2 linked regions of the Danio rerio genome follow. The protein of the gene in region 1 purifies or fractionates together with the protein of each later gene. This does not show direct contact. Links are inferred from orthologs where the notes say so. Each region holds a gene or a part of one and is shown on either strand. Other genes may lie near its edges.

Region 1 (11,151 bases):
TTAAGATATATATGTATATAAAAGTTTTTTTGGATGATCGCCCTGTTTAAGATCACAATAAAACAAGTTTTTACGTATAGGCTGACACTGAGACTCATTAAATGTCTTTGTAAATGCTTGAATGTTTGTGACATTCATTCAAAGCCACAATTTATTTTGAGTGCTGCTAGCAATGATCACACATAAATAGATAGACCACAAGACAGCTCAGACACTGAACACCTAGTCATATACTGAAAATAAAAACAGTTACATTTTGGCTGGGGTTGATGGTAACATTTCACTTTTACAATTCATTTTGTTGTTGGTTCTGACCCAGAGTCTTGTAGCCATGAATTTGCTCACCTTACAACTAATATCTATAACATTATCACCAACATTGGCACGTAGTTTCATGTGATTTGGGACAGTGTTTGGTTATTTTTGGAATATGGTTAAGCAAAATTTGTCTTTAATAAACATTTCAGTCCCGCTCGCCCCCTCTATTTTCATTTGAAATTATTTTTCTGATATCGAGCTTAACAAAATTCAGAAGTGTGTTTTTAGCTGGCCGGACAGCAGCCAAGAAAATAGTTGTGACAAGATGAAAGCCTCCACATTCTCTTAATCAACACCATTGGATTTTAACTTTTATTGATATTGTGTATCTGGAAATGTCCACTGCTTGCATGGTGCAAGAGAGCACACCATCAGACTTTGGGCACAAACTTTGGAATAGCTTAAAAGTTTACTAATTTAAATCAAGGAGAAATCAAAAAGCAAAACTTTTGTTTCCAAGGCCACATATTTATTTTATTTATTTTTTAATTATTTATTGATTTATAAATTTTTTCTCTCGTTATTATTTTAATATCTTTTCTTTCTCGTCATTGTAGTTGTTTAAGGTTCCCTGTTTGGGCTTTTAATAACCTTTTTTCATTGTTGTAGATCTCTTTCAGCACAGTTTTGATTATCTTAATCTGTTTCTCTTACTATTCTTTTTTTTTAAATTCATTTTAACTGGTTTAATTTTACCCTTACTTAACCTTTAATACAGATTTGGTTTATTGCTTTTTTATTTTGGAAACTTGTTTTATGTCTGTATCTGTGTGTCTGTGTATATGTACATATTATTTTTTCAGTCTTCGTCATTTATTCTTCAGTTTTTCCTTTTTGTTGTCACTGTTGTTGTTGGCATTATTATTAATATTATTATTTACCAACCTGTAAATTGGTTGTTACATGTATATCTATGCACACTGCTATATGTCGATCGTCTATGGCATGTTTATTCTTTGTTCACATAATTCAAAGTAAACAAAAAAATTGATGGAAATAAAAATCACCACCATTATGCAATAAAAATATCTACACAGACACACAAGTGACATCATTTAACTTTGATGGGTACAAATCAGATACAAATTACAATCTCAGAAATAACATTACTTTCTTAGCTCAAATATATTTTATCCCCTTCTAAAATCGTCTGTGTTTGCCCTAGGACTCATATCTGGAAAGAGAACTATGAGCATCTGTGAATTGAGTTGACTGATTTGTAACTAGTCCATAATTGTAGTAATTTACTACAAAAGTTACATTTGAAAGTAATGCATTACAATATTTAGTTACTCCACTAAAAAGTAACTTATTGTGCTCTTTAGTTACTTTTGATGGTAAGTAATGCGATCTGTTGCATTTGGGTTACTTTTGCTTAACTTTTTATTACCTTTGCTGAGGCTTGATCTCTTTCAGAACTTGCAGGTTTTTATGGAGCTCCGAATTAACAATGCACTGCATAACCTATTTAACTTTAGAAACACATAAAGAAAAAAATGAGGATAATCTTCTATAAACTTCTGCAACGTTTCTACTTTTTGTATTATTAGTTATGTAAAATCTCTGTCCATTAAGACAATCCCCCTTTTTCTTCAATGCATTCAAAATAATGATTGCATTTTCTCATTGATTTCATGATTCAACATGACTACATTCATTTTAATTCAGCAATTTATATTTAAAAGGTAATTAATTAAACTAAAAAGTAACTAGCATTACGTTTTTAAAAAAGTAACTCAGATATTTTTACTTTATTTTTTTTTAAGAAATGCGTTTAACGTCAACCAAACACTGGTGGTTACAACTGACAATCCAAATGTAATCCACATGGTGGGGCTGTTTCAAAAAATATAAAGGGTCAGAGAGGACATTCATTAGTTATTTTAATAAAATGCACCGAGACCATGCAGTTTAACACACGCAATGTTTTTTGCAATACGACTGTTATGATTTAGGCCACTTACACTGTGATTCACTCGACCCAAAATATAAAAAAAATAAAGATTCAATGCAGGTGAAATTAGTAAAAAAAAAAAGAATAGGCTACATATAAGAATTTTCTTTCTGATTTTTAATTTCTTGTTATCTTCACCACTAGCTTGCTTGATTTGTGACTTGTGGAACTGCGCGTTGATGGATTTGCTTTGCAGTGTTTGGACTTTCAGCAGTGAAAATTAAACCACACTGAACTAAACTGAACTTCAACTCTGAAAACTGGACTGATTTACTAGAACTGCTAAGCTGCTTTGACACTATCTACATCGTAACAGCATTATATAAAGAACATGAATTTAATTGTTATAGCTATACACTATAAGGGCCCTAATGAAAAGATGAAAAAAAAAACCATAAGTTCAAATTTCCACAAAAACTACCATTAAAACAGTAAAACTTTTTACCAGAGCATTTTAATGACTTCTAATGTGTTTCGGCACACATTAGGGTTTGTTTAGTGGTTTTAATACCACCCATGGGGACCATTACAATTTCAATTAAAACCAATACAATTACCATTATAACCATTAAAACCATTATGCATTCTATGAGATTTTAGATTGTTTTCTTTTCAGCAGGGGCATCTGAAGAAATAGGGGTTTGGTGATGTTGGAAGGTCTGTTAATGTAGAGTAAGATGTGTAATTATGAATAAATAAATCTATTTGATAATAAAATAAATAATAAAAATTATATATATATATATATATATATATATATATATATATATATATATATATATATATATATATATATATATATATATATATATATAAATAAATGTACATTTTTATCGGGAAGCTATACAATATTATATTTGTGCATAAACATTAGATTAGTCGGTACTGAAGCCAAATCTGGAGCTTATCTATCAAAATAACTTACAATAAAAGCCCAAAAACTAGTACACCCAAACTTATTTATTATACAAAAATATTAAATGCAAATTTTAAAAAGAGGACAAATCAGGAGAAGATTTTTTAAAAACAATTTTGATTAAATTTTGTAAGTTGTATTTTTTGTATTTTTTCCACAATGTTTTGCTTTAATTTCATTGTGTTATATTTTAATTTTTAAATATGTTTGGTAACTAAAATATTATTTTTATAAATGTTTAATAAATCTGCTTTGTTTAAATATTCATTGTCAAAATGGGGGTGTACTTAATTATGCTGAGCACAATATAAAAATATTTTTTTGTATTGAATGTCAAAAATATATTAGCTATGACAAATAAACAAATATAATAAATAAATATTAAATTAAATGAATAATACAATGTGAAACATTTAGCCATTAATATTTTATTTCCATGAATAATATAGATTGTGCTACTTGGGTCTTTTCCAAAGATACTTTTAACAATTTTTTGGATGGAGTCCATTGCATCTAAATGTACAAATTATAAAAATACCTCCTGATATTAGTCACTTTTAACCTATTACAAAATAAATCTCACAACTGTTTTGACTTTATAAAAAAATTGTGCTTCCAATGCTTTAACATATTGACAACTAAACAATAACGTTACCCTGCTGCAGGAAGTGAATAAGCAAAAGAGGAGCATATCAAGCCAATCACCACCTGAACATATATTTCCAAATTAACACGTTTCTTTTTGGAAGAACTGTAAAAAGAAACAGTATCTTTTCCGCCAAAAATACATTTCCCAGAAAACTTTGCGTCAGCCACGGAGGGGCGGGGCTTGTCGTCGTAGCGGCTCTTGCGTTAGGAGAGTAAAATGTGTTTGACAGGAATCTGAACGAGAGGAGGGGGCGGCGGCACACGAGTGGAAATCCGCACCTTCAAGAGATCGCCATCACTTTTCTCCCCCTCGTCAATCTCCAGTCGCGTGCGGTGCGTTAACGGCGGGGAGGCGAATGCGGTGAATTATTAGGAGGCTCAGCAACAGGGCACACAGAGTACAGGATGCCGCTGAGTGAATCGACCCCGCGCGCGGGGAGCTCCCGCGACTAGCGCCGCGCAAAGTATCCAAAAACGAGAATGCGAATGGTTAGAGAAGACAGCATTCAATTAATATGGAAACGATGTAGCTTCACCGCCGCATTGCATATAGCTCGGGGAAACAGGTTAGAAAGTAGATAGCTAAACAAGGCGCATTTTGCCGTCATACATGCAAACTTAACGTTACTCATCCTCGAGCTCAACTAGCCTGTAGTTTGGCCGCAACAAAAGGAACAGCTGCTCGACAGCGTCTTCAGATACCAAAGAAGACGGAACAACTGAAGATGTTACGGAGGAGGCTCAACCGATTGGTATGTATGGCACTCTGCTGCCGCTCACTTACATCTCACTTAAATCGAGCAGGTCTATCGAGGCAACATCTCAGTTTGTGCACAAGTTGGACGGCTTATTTAAAAACCAGGGAGCCACCCTGCAGAAAGAGCTCCTCTGGCTGACCACAAGAGTTTTTAACACCACCAAAGCTGTAATTACTTGAGGTATGCAGGCAACTTCCTGGTAACATGGACCAGCTGTTGCTAAGTGAGTCGTGTCACGCATATTAGCCATTCAAAGCGCGAGTTTATAGGGTTTAGCAGCTGGAAAATATTTTTTAAGAAGTTGACAGTCACTTTTGATTGAGCCTGGACACGTTAGGACTGGGGTTTAGACGCTGACGACGCCTCTTCTGTTGTGAAGATAATGGTTTCAGGCAGCTACTTCTGATGTGTTCTGCCAATTTTTTTTAAGTTAAGCTGCATTCCTGATAGTGTTAATCAAATAATACTGCTCGCTCTTGCAAGCTAAGCCCTTTACGTGTTGTACTTGAATCCAATAATTAATTTCCTAATGCCCTTCATTGCTGTCGCAACCTTTTAGATGGAAACTTTATTTGGGCACGTGATGCAGTAATTCTGCTTTTACCACATAATTGCAGAGCATCAGGGCAGAGCTCTTGAAGTTGAATGCTGGCTTTAAGATGAAGCCTTTTTTTAGTCTCAGCCGTTTTGGTCTGTGGTTGTGGGAATACTTGTAATCAAATTTCTCCCTGCTTTTGCTTCAATTATTGTTGTAATTCACCATTGCAAATGAATTCAACACGCTCCTCGTGTGCTTGAACTAATGCTTCACCTAGAAATAAAACAAAATATTTACTCACCCTCATGCGATTCCAGACTAACATAAATGGAGATAGCATGAGTTATTCTTCACATTCATTGCATGAATAAAAAGAAATGCACGGAAGAAAGAATCTCATACACGTCTGTCGGAACATGCCAGTGAGCAAATGACTGCACCATTTTCATTTGGGTGCACTCTCCATTGTTAAAGTGTTGGTTTTATTATGTTTGATTGCGAGTTACTTGTCTCATTCGTTAATTTAGGGTCAGGGTGACCAAACCACATCATTGTTTGGGTTGTTATATTTGCATAAGTTTAATATTTGGTCATGCTTTACCACTTTAATTCTAGTCGTTAGGTCTATGTTACTGAAATGTACAATTTTCTGTGAAAGGAGCAGCCTTGGACATTAGAGGAAAATCTCGATTGCAACTGACTATATTGACTAACTGCCCGACAACCATCAGTGTGAATTTGTGAAGCAATCTGTAAGTGAAATTATACAGCAATTGCACTTCTAAACTTTAATTTTTGTGGTTGAGGTGGGTCAGAGCAGGCACATATTACTCTGGTTTTCATGTTGGCTCTGGTTGGGCTCATGTCGGAGGCAGTTTGCCCGATTCAGCATGTTGAGTTGTCATAGGGGGACTTACAGTTGAATTTTTGCATGCAGAACACGCCTGCTATTTTGCAATAAGTTGTACTTCTTTCTCTAGTGTATTCAGGTGAAGCTTTTTGGCCAAGATGCAGTTCATGCAAGCCCTTAACGCGGTCAAATTGTGATGCAGTTAGATCTTTGAAGTCGGTTTGGTTTGTCATGGCCTCAAGATAAAAGAAGATACCATCAGTCACCCTTCACTTTCATTGTATGAAGCAATGAAATTGCATAGAAAAGATTCCATGGAAGAAAGAAAAGCATGCCTCTTTTTGCGACAGCACAATGGTGATTAAATGATTGCACCAAATCTGATGTGGGTGCGTACTTTATTATATGTGCTTATGTTAGATCAGATCTGATGTATTGTAAAGTTTTGATTGTATGAAATGTAACTTCTCTGTTAGGGCTAATATTTTATCCATTCCTTTTGGTATTTCTATGTCTGTGACTGTATGAACCGCATCCTCGCTTGCTTGCTTAGTCTAATTGTATTTACATAAGCCTTTCAATTTCCGTCATAAGGTTTATGTACCTGAAGTTATTTGCAATTTACATTCAATGAAGGCAGCCTGAGCTGTAGAAATAAATAATGATTGCAACTAAAAACGCTGCTACCAACCACTTGATCCAGCAAAAGTTCTCTGAGGTTGCATGTTTTTAGGGGCAGTTCACACAGAAGAGGTTTTGCATTCTGCTCTTTTGTTTTTCCATTGTTTTTGAATGTAAATGTGCTAGACTTACAGGTTTAACCACTGTGCTTTCCCGATATTCCTTTGGCAGCTTCCTGCAGGTAGACTTGGCATACTAAAAAGACAGTTTGTACTTTTTTCACATTCAGAAATCCAGAAACATAATCTGTGGGAAGTCAGTTTCAATTTTCAGGCTTTTCTTTTTATGTTTTCCAAGTGCATGGTACATATTTCATTAGGAATCATTCATCTGTATTTGTTTTGAGCTAATCATTTTCTTCAGATTTCATTTAATTCAGATTTCTAGCTAGTGAAGTATGTAGGATGACCCCAATCTCTAAGGTCAGATATACACACAAAATGCACAAAACGCTTCAGAAGTGTAACTGTAGGTGTCTTAACACTGAGCACAAATCCATTTACAGTGGTGGTGTACTAGATCACAAATCTCACGGTTTAGATTACATTACGATTTTTGAGTTATGCATCGGACCATTTTTGGGAGAGGAGATAAATGTAATTTGCTTTCAATTTATTGCAAAAACGTTAAATTTTTGGTTTTAACGAACAAAACTTTGAACCTGTAATTTTAACAACCCTACTAATATTTGGTACTGAGGCATGCTGAGAAATCCAGGTTACTTTTGAATTAGTGGTGTAACGAATCACAAATCTCATGGTTCGGATCATACTATGGTTTTTGAGTCACTGATAGGACCATTTTTTGGATCAGCAAAAAAAGGGAATTGACATGTCATTTGCTTTTCATTTATACAAAAATATTACTGCAAAAAACATTGGTTTTAACCAACATAATTAGAAACTGTTGTAAAAATAAAAAATTTAATTAAAATCAAGATGGAACCAGCTGAAAAAAGGAAAATATTCAATACAATAAATGGTCTTTGCTACTGTTGCTGATAGTGCTAAATATAAAAATCTAACATCTTGTACAACATATTATATGTATTTTCAATTAATGATTCAACAATTCACAAATAAAACTTCCTGTTTCATTATTCACCTTATTCTTCGCAGACGAGCGGGCGCTGCCATTTGAATCTTTTTGGCTTGAGACTTCCAGTCTCATTCACTTCCATTCATTTTTTGACCGTAAAGCAGCTCGTTACGCTGCTTGATGTTGCAATTTGATATTTTCTTATTATATTATTCTACTTGGTCTGTATAGTCATGCAAACATTTGTTTGTAGAGCAAGTAGTTTGATCGTTTTCTGCCGTTTATTATTCCTAGTCATTTCTCCCATAGGAGACCATAGGCGTTTCTCCCATAGGCGACTGAATCGGAAGTTCTAAGACAATCGCGAAAACAGGCGCACTTCCGCATTTTAGAATAAGGTCAATAGGTGGATCATTTTTGAAAACCTATTCAGTAATACAAGTTCGATGATTGTTTGTCGCCACCCATTGGTTACACAATGTAATTCCTACAACATTAAACATTCACCAGCGTCTAGTTCTATTAAACTGTGATTTTAATATTTACCACAAACGTCAGTGTTTATATCTGAACTGTAAACTGTTCTCCCAAAACTTCTGTGTTATTTAATATTTTGTAACTAACTATAAAAGTGTAAAAACCGAATCTCTCACAAATGCAGATATGAATGCACTGCTTAGAAGGATTAATAAACCTATGTAAATCATCATTATTTATTATTCATGTTGTGTAGATTTGAATTGAGATCACAGTCTTTTAATGCTTAATTGTGCAGCTTTACACTTAATGCATTAATGCAGGCTAAACAAAGAGTGACAGAAAACACCTTTTAATTAACAACCTAAGAAAGCCTTTAGGTCCCACCACAACTTTTTCCGTCATCATTATATTTTACAGGGAAGCCAAAAATGCTTTCATACATGTAATTTGAATGATGCGGGAGGCGATCTCTCAGCAATTGTTATACATGTTGGATTAACCTACAAGTTTAAAAAAATGTATATTAATCCGCGGGCCGTGGGTTGTGATTTGTACAGATCAAAGATCAACCATGATCCATTACACAACTATTTTGAATCCTATGTTTCTTCTTCTGTTTCATGACTTTGGTCCAGGTTTATTTTTTTTAAAGGGTCATGAAACCCCCCTCTTCCAGTTCAAATATACCTTGTGTTTTTTTTTTGTTTGTTTTTTTTGAAAAATGCATCTTACACGGGCATGTAAAGCAGTAAAAAAACAAGCAAGGATGGATCATCTGTCAGTGGCTCATAATGACTTTATCGAAAAATCTGAATCTTACCTACTTTGTAGGGACAGAAAAGTCCTCGCACACTGGAACATTTGAAAGTCATGTCGCTCAGTGTTTATTTGCAGTGTGAATCCACTGACGGATCAGCTGATAGACTCAGCTTTCAAACTGATGATTATTAGACCCAAAAACAGCCATATCTGTTGATTGTGTGAACACAATGGTCGATCAACAATGCTCAATAATCCACTCTGCAGCTCTCAAAATCCCCAAAAATTCAAAACAGACTCTTAGAGGTCTACGGACAACATAAACAGTGCCTCAACCCATCATGAATGCTGAACTACTGCACGGTCTTACAGCTTGGCTAAATAATTCAGAAATAATTCATAGGGTAGAAAACTTGGTCTCATGAATAATAATCAGACACTGACGTATCATTGAAGTACTCCCGGTGCTATGCTACATCACCACAAGGAACACTGTGCCATATAGATTTTAAAAGCTCAAAAGTAGCCCTACAATTATAGCTAAAAGATGCTAACATCTTAATTGTTGTTCAAAGCACATACATTTGTTAAAATCGCAGAAAAGTTAACCCATTAAAATATTTTATTTAGTGATTGACTGAAACATTTGTGCATTCTTGCTAGTCTGTGACATAGCTCAAATGGCACTGGCTCTATATCCCTCCTTTTATGCTGCACTGCTTTACTGCCTTGTCTCTTTTTTATGGTGTAAATCTCCAATAACCTGTTGGTGCCATTAGGCTAAATTGTGCTGCTGGTAGTGCAAGTACTTTAGATACCAGCAATAATAGACCAATATAATGATGGCATGTGCTGATATTCCCATAGGTGTTGTAATATTACTCCAGTCAGCATATTCTCTTGCCTTGCTATGGAGTTTGCCTCTGTATATTTTTGTGTGGCTCATAAATAACGTTTGCATGGCTGCCATGCCTGATGTCACTGATGCAGACAGTATTGTTATTGCCACCTCCTCTTTTTTTGTATATGTTATCTGTACAGAATGTCTTCTGTTGCCTGGAAAGTCAAGGTCTTTTTGAGTTGAACAGACAGGAATCGTCTGTCTTGATATGCTTCTAACTCTGCATTCTTAGGGAATGTCATGATAGGAGAATAGCATTGAGACCGGTTGCTGGAAAACTCCATTGGTCGCGATTCTCAGAGTCTGACAGGAATATGCAGAATCTTGGTGCCTTTGATGTTCTATCATGTTGTGTCTTGGCTGGCGGTCTGGAGGAAATTTGATATCATTCAGTGTGCGCATGTAAGGGAAGTCCTATGCTGAAAGCTTTCCGGAGCCTGCTTGTTTCAGCAGGTGCCTTTTGAATTTGTTCAGAGAAGTCCAAGAGTTGGTTTATTCGCACAGGGAGTCCGCATTTTATTAGGGCAGCACAATAATGGCCAAATTATAATCACAAATATTTTGCTCTTTTTATACACACTTATGCACTTTATTAGGTACACTTTACTAGTACCTGCTTAAACCTTCTTTTGCCTTCAGAACTGCATTACTCCTTCGTGGCATAGATTCAACAAGGTACTGGAACTATTCCTCAGAGATTTTGGTTCTAATAGGCCCAAAGTGTGCCAAGAAAATATCCCCCACCCCATTACACCACCACCACCAGCCTGAACTGTTGATACAAGGCAGGATGGATCCATGCTTTCATGTTGTTGACGCCAAATTCTGACCCTACCATCAGAATGTTGCTGCCATGTGATTGGTTTGTTAGAAATTTGCTTTAACAAGCAGTTGGGCAGGTGTACCTAATAAAGTGGACGGTGAATGTATAAACATGTCCTAATTTAATGTTTCTTTATATGTTTTATTTGAAATGTATGTATGGTCGGCGCCAGTGGTGCAGTGGTTAGTGCGTCGACACATGCACTCGCGGTGACCCGAGTTCGGTTCCGGCTCACCGTCCTGTGCCGATCCTTCCCCTCTCCCTGCTCCCCATCCTTTCCTGTTGATACTCTCTACTGTCCTGTCTAATAAAGGTGAAAACACATAAAAAATAACTTTATATATATATATATATAATGTATGGATAACCAAAATTTATAATAATCTAGATATATGGTGTATAATTAAGTGAAAAATACTGCATGACATGAATGATAAATTTATTTGAAAATAAAATTACAATGTGAGTGCTGGCCAGTGAGGAAGTA
Region 2 (10,502 bases), on another chromosome or scaffold:
AAGCCCAAAAGAAATTAATGAATTTATAATATATATATATATATATATATATATGTAATATTATATATATATATATATATATATATATATATATATATATATATATATATATATATATATATATATATATACAGTATATATATATATATATATATATATATATATATATATATATATATATATATATATATATATGTATATGTGTGTATGTGAGCAATATCACACGAGTAGCAGTGCGATATGGTTGTATATCAGCACTGGTGGGAGGTGTGCCTCAATGTCCCACCAGTAACGATATACAGCCATATCGCACTGCTACAAGTGTGATATTGTGTCCAACAGTTCAACGACATAACGACGTGTATATATAAAAAAAAAATCAAACGCAGAGAGTCTCAAAAGTGTGATATGTGATATAAAGTGAGTCTCAGAATGTGCATTAAATAACATTTTTCCACGCAGACATCCCAAGTCTCCCGGAAGTTCCAGGAGTCTCCCGCAAATGCACAGAGACTCCCGGATGCCTGCAAGCGAGTTATAATCTCTTGAAAATCGCGGGTCTCCCTCCCGGTCCTCAAATACGTTGCGCACCCTTCTTACTGCATCCCTCCTTGCTCTTCAGACACATCCTGTTAAACACCACCAACACCCGATCTTCAGATATTTTTACGTAGCATAACTCCCGCAAACTCCGACAAATCATCAGTCTTGCCCGGGAATGACTATTCTCAACTTTGGATGTCTGTCCATGCCATGTCTTAAAAATATGAACATTTTTTTTTACGCCAGATTATTCAAAGGAGCTTTTGTACTAGCCTGCTGATCCTGACAGCTTGTGCTGGTAAACGGTCTTTCATCTCATTTTATGCTTGACCGATTAAATGTCTGTTTAATTTAATAAGTCTGTTTAACTGACTATATTTTAAAAACATTAAAACATCGATGCTGTAAAAGAAAAAAAACATATAAAATTGTACAAGCCACATTAACTGTTCACCAGACGTTTAATAATATGGGAAGAAACGCTCGCTGCTGTGCATATACCCCATTGTTCACCTAAAGAATAACAATGTGCGCTAGCAAAATGAGCATTGTAAATTTTGATTTCACCTGGACTTTAAATAAAAATTACATTTTGTATTTTCTCCAGCAAGATACAAAGGATGAACTACCTATTTAGTTATTGAATGCATATTAAACACGTTTAAATTAAAATACTGCTCATCTCTGCATCACTGATTTTCTATTTCAGAAACAAACAGGAACATGCAAACAACAGCAATAATAATAATAAAGACACAAATGCATACCAAACATATTAAAATACCGGTAAAAGAGCATAGCATACTGTATTAAGAGATTATCAGGGGAATAAAAACAGTTGTTTTTATTCCTTAGTCGTCATGTGATGCCGTCACAGCGTCGCTGCAAGTCTATTGGCTGCAGCACTTCCTTGTTTATCGCCTTGTCCACATCCTACTAAGCGCTACGGAAATAATCTCCATCGTTTAATGGCGCGGTCATTGTACCATCAAAACCATCGATAGCGGCGATATAACACACGCTGTACCCAACCAAGGACATACATTTGAAGTTGTGCTCGTCTTTGAAGGATTAAAGCGCGATGATGGCGTCCAGCTATAACGCGAAGGAGGAGGACGGTCATCATCCGGGATTGGTGGGCTCCGGCGGCCCGGGCGCCGTCAAGAGCAAGAAGCCGGACAACACGGCCTTTAAACAGCAGCGTTTGCCCGCCTGGCAGCCCATCCTGACAGCAGGCACCGTCCTGCCTGCCTTCTTCATGATCGGACTCATCTTCATCCCCATCGGCATCGGACTCTTCGTCACCTCCAATAACATCAAAGAGTTTGAAGTGCGCAACTTCACCATAGTACCGTCAGGGCTGTGCAGTATGACAATATAAAATGTCTATCTATTCATATTCTATCGTTAAAATAGTTAGTTCACAGCAAAATTGACAAGCAAAAATCATTATTTACTCACCCGTTGCTTGTTTTTAACCTTTGTGAGTTTCCTTCAAATGTCGAACACAAAAGAAGATAGCTCGAAGAAAGCTAAAAACCTGTAACCATTATTAAGGATAGAAGTAAAGTTTCGGATTTTCAGACATTCCCCTTAATAATATCATTTCAGAAAAGTATTCATTGCAAATTTTAAATAGGGAAATCATATTAGCAGCAAATGACTTTCAAAGTACAACATTGTTCACAGTCAAATAAACAGTGTTAATGTTGTTTTCAAGTCACACTTGCATGCTAATTCAGATCGGATATTTAAAGTAACATAGTAAACAATATATAGACTGCTAAATGAACGAATGTGTGAATATAAAACCAACTTTACCTCTATTTATTAAGGTAAGGTCTTATATTCGCACATTCGTTCAGTGACAACTTGTGACTCGCTCCCTATATTGTTTACTATCATATTTTGTATACATTAAGGGAAATTTGGTTTTATATTTACGCATTGGGACTTATTATAATTTCAGAAAGAATTCTTTGCTCTAAATAAATAAATAGTGAAATCATGTTAGCAGCCAGTGACTATCAAAAGTACATCATTGTTAACAGTCAAATAAATAGTGCTAATATTGTCTTGATGCCGTACATGCATGCAATTTCAGATCAAATATTCAAAATACCATGGTAAAAAAAAATTAGAGAATATTACACAAGTCACTGAACGAGTGTGTGAATATACAACCAACTTTACCTTAATTTTTTTATATTTGATTTAAAATCACACGTAAGTATGAGTTTCAAATAACATTAGCACTATTTGTTTGACTGAACAATGATAGAAGTAAAGTTGGTTTTATATTCACACATTCTCATTAATAATAAAGTCTCAGAAAAGTATTAATTGGAAATTGTAAATAGCAAAATCATATTAGCAGCCAGCAACCATCAAAGTACAGCATTGTTCACAGTTGATTAAATAGTGCTAATGTTGTTTTGAAGTCATGTGATTTCAGTCCGGATATTCAAAGTACCATGGTAAACAATGTATGGAGCTGTCAATGAATGAATGTGTGAATATAAAACCAACTTTACCTTTATTGAACAATGTTGCAGTTTGATAGTCACTAGCTGCTACTGTGATTTTACTATATAGAATAAGCAAATATTTCTTTTTGAAATTATATTGTTAGGGAGAAAGTATGAATGTGTGATTATAAAACCAGCGTTACCTCAATGTAACCATTGTCTTCCATAGTAGGGAAAGTGATAATGTGTATGTCAATGGTTACAGGTTTTCTTTTGATTTGTGCTCAACAGAAGAAAGAAACTCAAAGTTTTAAACGTATATAGGGTGAGTAAATGATGACAAGAATTAGCATTTTTGGGTGAACTATACCCTTAATATTGTATTGTTACAAAATTTATTGTTTAATACTTTTCATAATTTTATATAAGCGTAATATTATACGCCATTATGAGGATAAAGACAGAAACATATTTACATTTTATTTAGCAATATTTTATGCTCAGCCTATAAATCATTAGTTTATGAATTTTTTTTCTAAATTTCATTAATATTTAATTATAATTAGAAACAAATACACTGAAGTTTTAATCTGATCACATATTAATGAGTAGATTTTTGAGTAAATACTTAGGAATTTACAGAAAATTATATATATATATATATATATATATATATATATATATATATATATATATATATATATATATATATATATATATATATAGGCAAGACAGTGGCGCAGTAGGTAGTGCTGTCGCCTCACAGCAAGAGTCGCTGGGTCGCTGGTTCGACAGTTGGCGTTTCTGTGTGGAGTTTGCATGTTCTCCCTGCCTTCGCGTGGGTTTCTTCCGGGTGCTCCATTTTCCCCCACAGTCCAAAGACATGTGTTACAGGTGAATTTGGTAGGCTAAATTGTCTGTAGTGTATGAGTGTGTGTGTGGATGTTTCCCAGGGATGGGTTGCGGCTGGAAGGGCATTCGCTGCGTAAAAACTTGCTGGATAAGTTTTCGGTTCATTCTGCTGTGGCAACCCTGGATTAATAAAGGGACTAAGCCGACAAGAAAATGAATGAATGAATTATATATATATATATATATATATATATATATATATATATATGTCATATTGCACAGCCCTACAACATAAAATAGTAGCATCGTGAATAGTAGTTTGATGTTATTGTGTAACTTGTGCTGTTGTTGTTTGTGTTGTAGATCGACTACACTGGTGTCGACATGTCCAGTCCGTGTTACAACTGTGCACAGAACTACAGCTGGAACAGCACTAGTGTGTGCACTTGCACTGTTCCCTTCACACTAGACCAGCCTTTCGAGGTAAACACACTTTACACTGCTAGACCTACATCATATTTGTGTGTTTCTGTGTTTTATTTTCTAGATCTGAAGTTTTTTTTGCTGCGATGTTGCGGAAATAGAAACTGTTTCTAAATTAGAAATTTCGCAGTCGCAGATGGTTAAAATAGAAACTCCTTTTAACTTGAAAGAGACATATTTTATTGCGTGTTAGGACACTGTGTTACACTTCAGAAAATGTTTTTCTTTTTAAAAATCAAAGATCTAAAATTTAAATAAAATATAATAATCTAGAAAGCATTTTCTAGACAAGTAAAAAATTATTTTTTTTTGTTTTTAAAGAAATAAGTCAAAATAAAGTTAGTTTTTCCTTAAAACAAGCTAAATAATCTGCCAATGCGTTAAGTTAAATAATCATGTTTTTTTGGTATGAAATAAGTTTATCTTACTTAATTTATATATATATATACATATATATATATATATATATATATATATATATATATATATATATATATATATATATATATATATATATATATATATATATATATATGGTTAAAAAAAGATCACTTTAGCAGGTTTAATCAAAAAGATACTTAATGCATTGCTTAATTATCTATACATTATCTATAAATCGAACAAATGTTTTAAACAAATTAATTAGCAAAAGAATAACTGCAGGATTACAATAGAATTTTATTAGTTATTAACTCCATTTAATAAAACGGTTACAACTTTTAAACCAGTGTACTATAGATTTTACTGCAGTAAACTGGTCTATTGTTGTTTATTACACCCTATGAAGTTGTAAAAATTGTACTACAATATTCATTTGTTTCTGTTATTAGTTGTTGTATTACCAGCAACTTACTACAACAAATGAATTCAACTACTTTACTATAGTATGATTCAAAAACACTATGTATTTTACCACAGAAATTGTTTTAATGTGAGTGACCTTTTATAAAGAAAACTGAGTAGCTAAATTATGAACTATATTCAGTTGTTGTCTACAAATTACATAAAAAAAAACAGATAACACATTTATGGAAATGTAATCTGACTACATTTGGATTACATTTAGATTACTTTTGTGCTTGCAGTTTGTTGAAAAATATGTTCATTTTGTCAGCAGCAAAAGCCTTAACAGATGAATACTTCACAATACTAACAATAATATACCTCTCTGTTTGTTTATGATTATAGTAACACAGGATAATACGAAGTCACATTTTCTGAGTTTGAAAGATTTACTTATATTAAAGCACATTTAGAAATCAACATCATTGTCACTGCTACATCAGTTATTTCATTAACAAAAACCTATAAATGCATATGAAGGTATCAATGAAAAGCATAGCAAGCGTGAACTAATTTAGAGATATATTTAACTCTAGCTCCATTATGTTGTATATTTGCTTTGTCTGCTAACCGTTGGATGGTCAAACAAATCACCTAAAGTGCCATTAGCTCTCATGTATTATGCATTAGTATATTTAGAGGACGTTTTATTGATCGCACCTTTTAATATGTTAAAAATAGAATTGTTTTCCGCTCTTGTTATAACAGAGATCAGTTCAGATGATCTATAAACAACACTGAAGTAGCCTCAGTATAAAAGATTTTATGGCTGGTGACTGGATGTTATTTTAACCTCTAACTTCTTTTTTTTTTGTAGAGTAATGTTTTCATGTATTACGGACTCTCCAACTTCTATCAAAACCACAGACGTTATGTCAAATCCAGAGATGACAGTCAGCTGAATGGAGACAAAAGCTCTTTACTGGTGAGTGTTTCGACATATGCTGACTAAATGTTTGACTTTGACTTTAGTATATTATATTTAATTTTGTTTTGTGTAAACTTATAGTTTAATATTGGTGCATTTTGTGAGATCTGATGGTATGGAAATGCTTGAGGCCCAAAAGAGAAGTGGTAACAACAGCCAGTAAGTTGTTGGGAACAAAACTAAAGAGTATACTGGTAGTGTATACAAAGAAAGAGCATTACAAAAGGCTATCATGATTGTCAATGAAAGCCTTATTATATATATATTATATATATATATTTGGTGACGCGACTGACGTGACATGCTTTTCCGCTCAGAGTTTACTTTTGTTTAATTGTCGTTTGCATATTGCAAATATGTGTAATTAGTGTAAACATGGCCCTAGCAAGCATACTTACTGAATTGTTGAATCGAGTTTGTACGTTGTCTTCAAGTGTTTAAATCTTTTGTTTTACAGAATCCGAGTAAAGAGTGTGAACCGTATCGAACAAGTGACAGGAAGCCCATTGCTCCTTGCGGCGCCATTGCTAACAGTCTCTTCAACGGTAAGACTGAAGGCTCATAATACTAATAACCCAGAGGAGTAGCGGACTGGCCCGCAGGGCACGCTCCGTGGGGGGGCCCCGCGTGATTAGGGGGCCCCACGTTGTCGCGAAAATCCGGCAACCTCAATAATCAAACTCTTGAAAACAACTGTGGTCGGAACCAATGTTCACAGGTCTGTGTTCTCTGAACTCCTCTCAACCGGTGGACTACTTCATTATGATTGCCGCCGAACCGAGTCAAGCTCGGTCATAGCTCATACCATAAAGTTGACTTGATTTCAACTCTCCTCGACACTCACACAGGTGAAGACGCGCCGCGATGTTTTTCACCGCCGTTTCTCATTGAAAATGAATCACTTCTGGCTACTTTGACGCTCTCGCCGTTTTCGGTTTGTGATCGCTCCTCAGTTTGTGAAGGCTTCCCTGTGTTGTCGCCCCCCCCCCTTTCCCGCTCTTTAGTTTGTGATCGCTTCTCAGTTTGTGATCGCTCCTCAGTTTGTGAAGGCTTCCCCGCGTTGTCGCTCCACCCCGCCTTCCTTCCCTGCTCCTCAATTTGTGATTACTTCCCCGCGTTGCCCCCCAACCAACACCTCTCCAACTGGGGGCCCCGTCAGTGATCCCTGCAGGGGGGCCTCCCCATTTTGCGCTACGCCACTGTAATAACCTTAATGATACTTAGTGCCTAATATGGCTTTGAATATTACAAAGGCATGTTGCTGTTTTAAATGCTTGATAATAATTTTCTTTCAATAGTTTAATTGTTCATTTAGACTATTTAAATAATATTTCCTCTGTGCTAAACCAATATTGTTATTTTAATAGTTGTTTATTCTTTGTGTGAATTAGATATGCACCAAAACCATTTTTTAAGATACTTTTTTTCTTTTACTCGCTGGTACTGATGCCTTTTTTGGGACGTGGCAGTTTTCGAAGTAATGACATTGTAAAACAAATTTTTTTTCTTTGTAATTACGAAAATCTGTAACTCCTTAACACAAGTTTTTTTTTATTTTTATTAATTATCATCCCACTTTATATTAAGTGTACTTAACTATTATGTACTTGCATCAAAAAACTAAATACAATGTACTTACTGGGTTTATAATGTATTTTGAGAACACTTGTGGTGCTTTTCAGTTGGGATAGAGGTTGGGTTATGGGCAGGTTTGGTGGTGTGGGTAGGTTTAAGGGTGGGTTAAGGTGTAAAGGATTGTCAACAGTGTATTAACAAATGTAATTACAAAAGTTAATTACAGATGTAATTACATACATGTATTTGATCAAACATGTACACAGTAAATACATGCATTTACACAATAAGTACATTGTAACAAACTATTAAATCCTGTGTAAGTACATATTAGTTAAGGCCACTATTAAAAAGAGACCTTAATTTTTATTAATTATTAATTAATTCATTCATTTTCCTTTCGGCTTAGTCCCTTTATTAATCAAGGGTCACCTTAATGAGGTGGACTCGGCTCAATTGAAACAAACCCTGGGTCAGATTGATTGTAGTGAGAAAGCAATACGACTCAATAAGCCAACGAACCAGGCTATATCACAGTGTATTATGCATATGTAAAAGCCATATATATGGCTACATGAAGGGAGAATTATGAGTAGGGTGGGATGTCATTCCTACCAATAACATGGTGTCATGTCGAATACGAAAGTGAAAGCATGCTGAAATATTACCGAGTGCTGTTTATTCGTTTGGAAAATTTACAGAATTAAAGAACCATCTGACATTTTTCCCATATTTTAGTCTCATAATATTTTGTATTAGGCCGATTGTTTTGTTCATTTCCAACATTTCTTACAGTGAAGGCTAACAATTGCACCTTCAACCGGCGGCAGTTACTTTTGCACTTATGTGTACTTTTGCATGCTGTTTAAATGAAGAATTAGCACAAGTTTATTGAGAATTTGAAGGTCGGTCATGCTGCTCATTGTAAAAGTATATAAATAAACCATTTAATGTCTGTCAGAAGCTCGGATCAGTAGACCCTATAAACAAAGCTAATGCTAACATGCTCTAGCGGCTTTCTATGAGCCTCAAAATAAATATTCACTGCTTACTCAGGCCTTAAGTCTGTTTGTTTGCTCTGTGTGATTCCTTTATGTTTGTAGATACACTGGAGCTGTTTTATATCCATCCAAACGGAAGCAAAATCGGCATTCATCTGGTGAAGACAGGCATTGCGTGGTGGACTGACAAACACGTCAAGTTCAGAAACCCAGGAGGAAGCAACAACAACCTCTCCGTTGTTTTCCAAGGTACAACTCAGAAGTCTACTCGATCATTCGGATGTGTTTAGCAGGGCCTTTCAGCTCATGTTTCACATTTCTTTTTGATTAGATTTTTTTCAGATTTCAAGTAAAGATGTTTTATTTTTATGATTTATTTAAAATTTTAGTAGGTTTTCTATTTATTTTTTTTATATGAATACTTTCCGGATGCACTGTACATCAACACATCTCTCTTTTTTTACCCTGAGTCTGTAATGTTTGTCCTCACAGACACCAGCAAACCTGTAAACTGGCGTAAGGCTGTCTACGAGCTGGACCCGGCTGATCCCGAGAACAACGGTTTCGTCAACGAGGACTTGATCGTGTGGATGAGAACCGCTGCTCTTCCCACGTTCAGGAAACTGTACCGCATCATTCAGAAGAAGAAGGACACCATGACCCCAACACTACCGCCGGGAAACTACAGCCTGGAGGTCGCCTACAGTATCCTTCACCAAACCCACACAAAGCCTTGTTCACACCAAGAATGAGCTATTAATGCCTTGTTTACACTGACTGGTACAGTACGGTACGGTTCGGGTCGGTACGGGTCACCTTTATCAGGCTTGCGTTTCCACTATAAAGGGTACCCTTTTGGTGGGTGTAGTGTAAGACAGAAAGTTTCAGTCGCATCATTCTCGCTCGAGGAAATGTCTACAGTAAAGCTGCACAGGTTCACGTTCACATATCATATTAAAAGCACTTCTCACAAAACAGATGCTTTACACACATAAATACTTGTGTATAAATGTTTATTACTAACTTTTCTATGAACAGGATTTGATTATAACTGCAGATCAATGACAGTGCCAAATAGCCTACTGTAACGTCTGTAATTATATAAAATAAATACATAAATGAACATATATGAACACATACAGCCCCTGACAGTCTCCGATGTTACCAACTACAGAAAAACTACACACATCAGACATTTCGTTCTTAATTGGGTTCAAAACAACACAAAGTATAGCCTACAGTCAGTGAAAACCTCTCATCTGTGTCTGTAATCTTCAGCAGCACATGTCATGTAGCTTCTGTTAGAGAGTTATTCCATCATTCCCCGTTCATTTTAGTCCAAAAGGTGATGATAATAATTAAAACAAGATCGTTTGTTCACGTTTGCTGAAGAAATAATGTGCTCCGTTTTTTTTCCGCGCTCCACTCTCGCGTTTGTCCTTTTCTTTCTGAATGTGTCATTCTCGCGTTTGTCAGCTTCTCACGGGATCGGGTTTCCAAAGCACGTCAATAATCAAGCGCACACTATTATAATCAGCTCAAGAAGTTTGTTATTTCAGATATAGACGCGCGGCGAGCGCAAGGAAGAAAGCGAAACCGCTCGCGCGTCAGACTGGCTCGTAAAAAAACTGCGAGGCACAGGGTAGATTCCGCTCTACTCCATGACTGTGTGGCTGTTCATCATGACGGTGATATATGAATATATAATTCCGCTGTAATCTCTCGCTGTGTATTTCAAACATGGCGGGTCCTTTGTTTACATTCTGGCTTGTTTTAAGTGAATGACGTATCTCTTCTGTAAACCAATAG

Evidence for each region.
Region 2: the proteins of atp11c (region 1) and tmem30aa purify together in Homo sapiens (co-immunoprecipitation; 4 studies listed by BioGRID and IntAct, with this or other methods). This does not show direct contact. The link is inferred for Danio rerio from reciprocal best matches to the Homo sapiens genes ATP11C and TMEM30A.

Annotation. Positions count from the first base shown.
Region 1 is NC_133189.1:37,168,423-37,179,573, reverse strand, and holds the start of atp11c (phospholipid-transporting ATPase IG), read left to right. Parts: upstream 1-4,055; 5' UTR 4,056-4,561; coding exon 4,562-4,588; intron 4,589-11,151. UniProt on the Homo sapiens protein: Catalytic component of a P4-ATPase flippase complex which catalyzes the hydrolysis of ATP coupled to the transport of aminophospholipids, phosphatidylserines (PS) and phosphatidylethanolamines (PE), from the outer to the inner leaflet of the plasma membrane.
Region 2 is NC_133192.1:56,060,898-56,071,399, reverse strand, and holds the start of tmem30aa (transmembrane protein 30Aa), read left to right. Parts: upstream 1-1,438; 5' UTR 1,439-1,624; coding exon 1,625-1,873; intron 1,874-4,226; coding exon 4,227-4,346; intron 4,347-6,006; coding exon 6,007-6,114; intron 6,115-6,574; coding exon 6,575-6,662; exon of another isoform or gene 6,663-6,965; intron 6,966-7,157; exon of another isoform or gene 7,158-8,795; coding exon 8,796-8,942; intron 8,943-9,185; coding exon 9,186-9,398; intron 9,399-10,502. UniProt on the Homo sapiens protein: Accessory component of a P4-ATPase flippase complex which catalyzes the hydrolysis of ATP coupled to the transport of aminophospholipids from the outer to the inner leaflet of various membranes and ensures the maintenance of asymmetric distribution of phospholipids.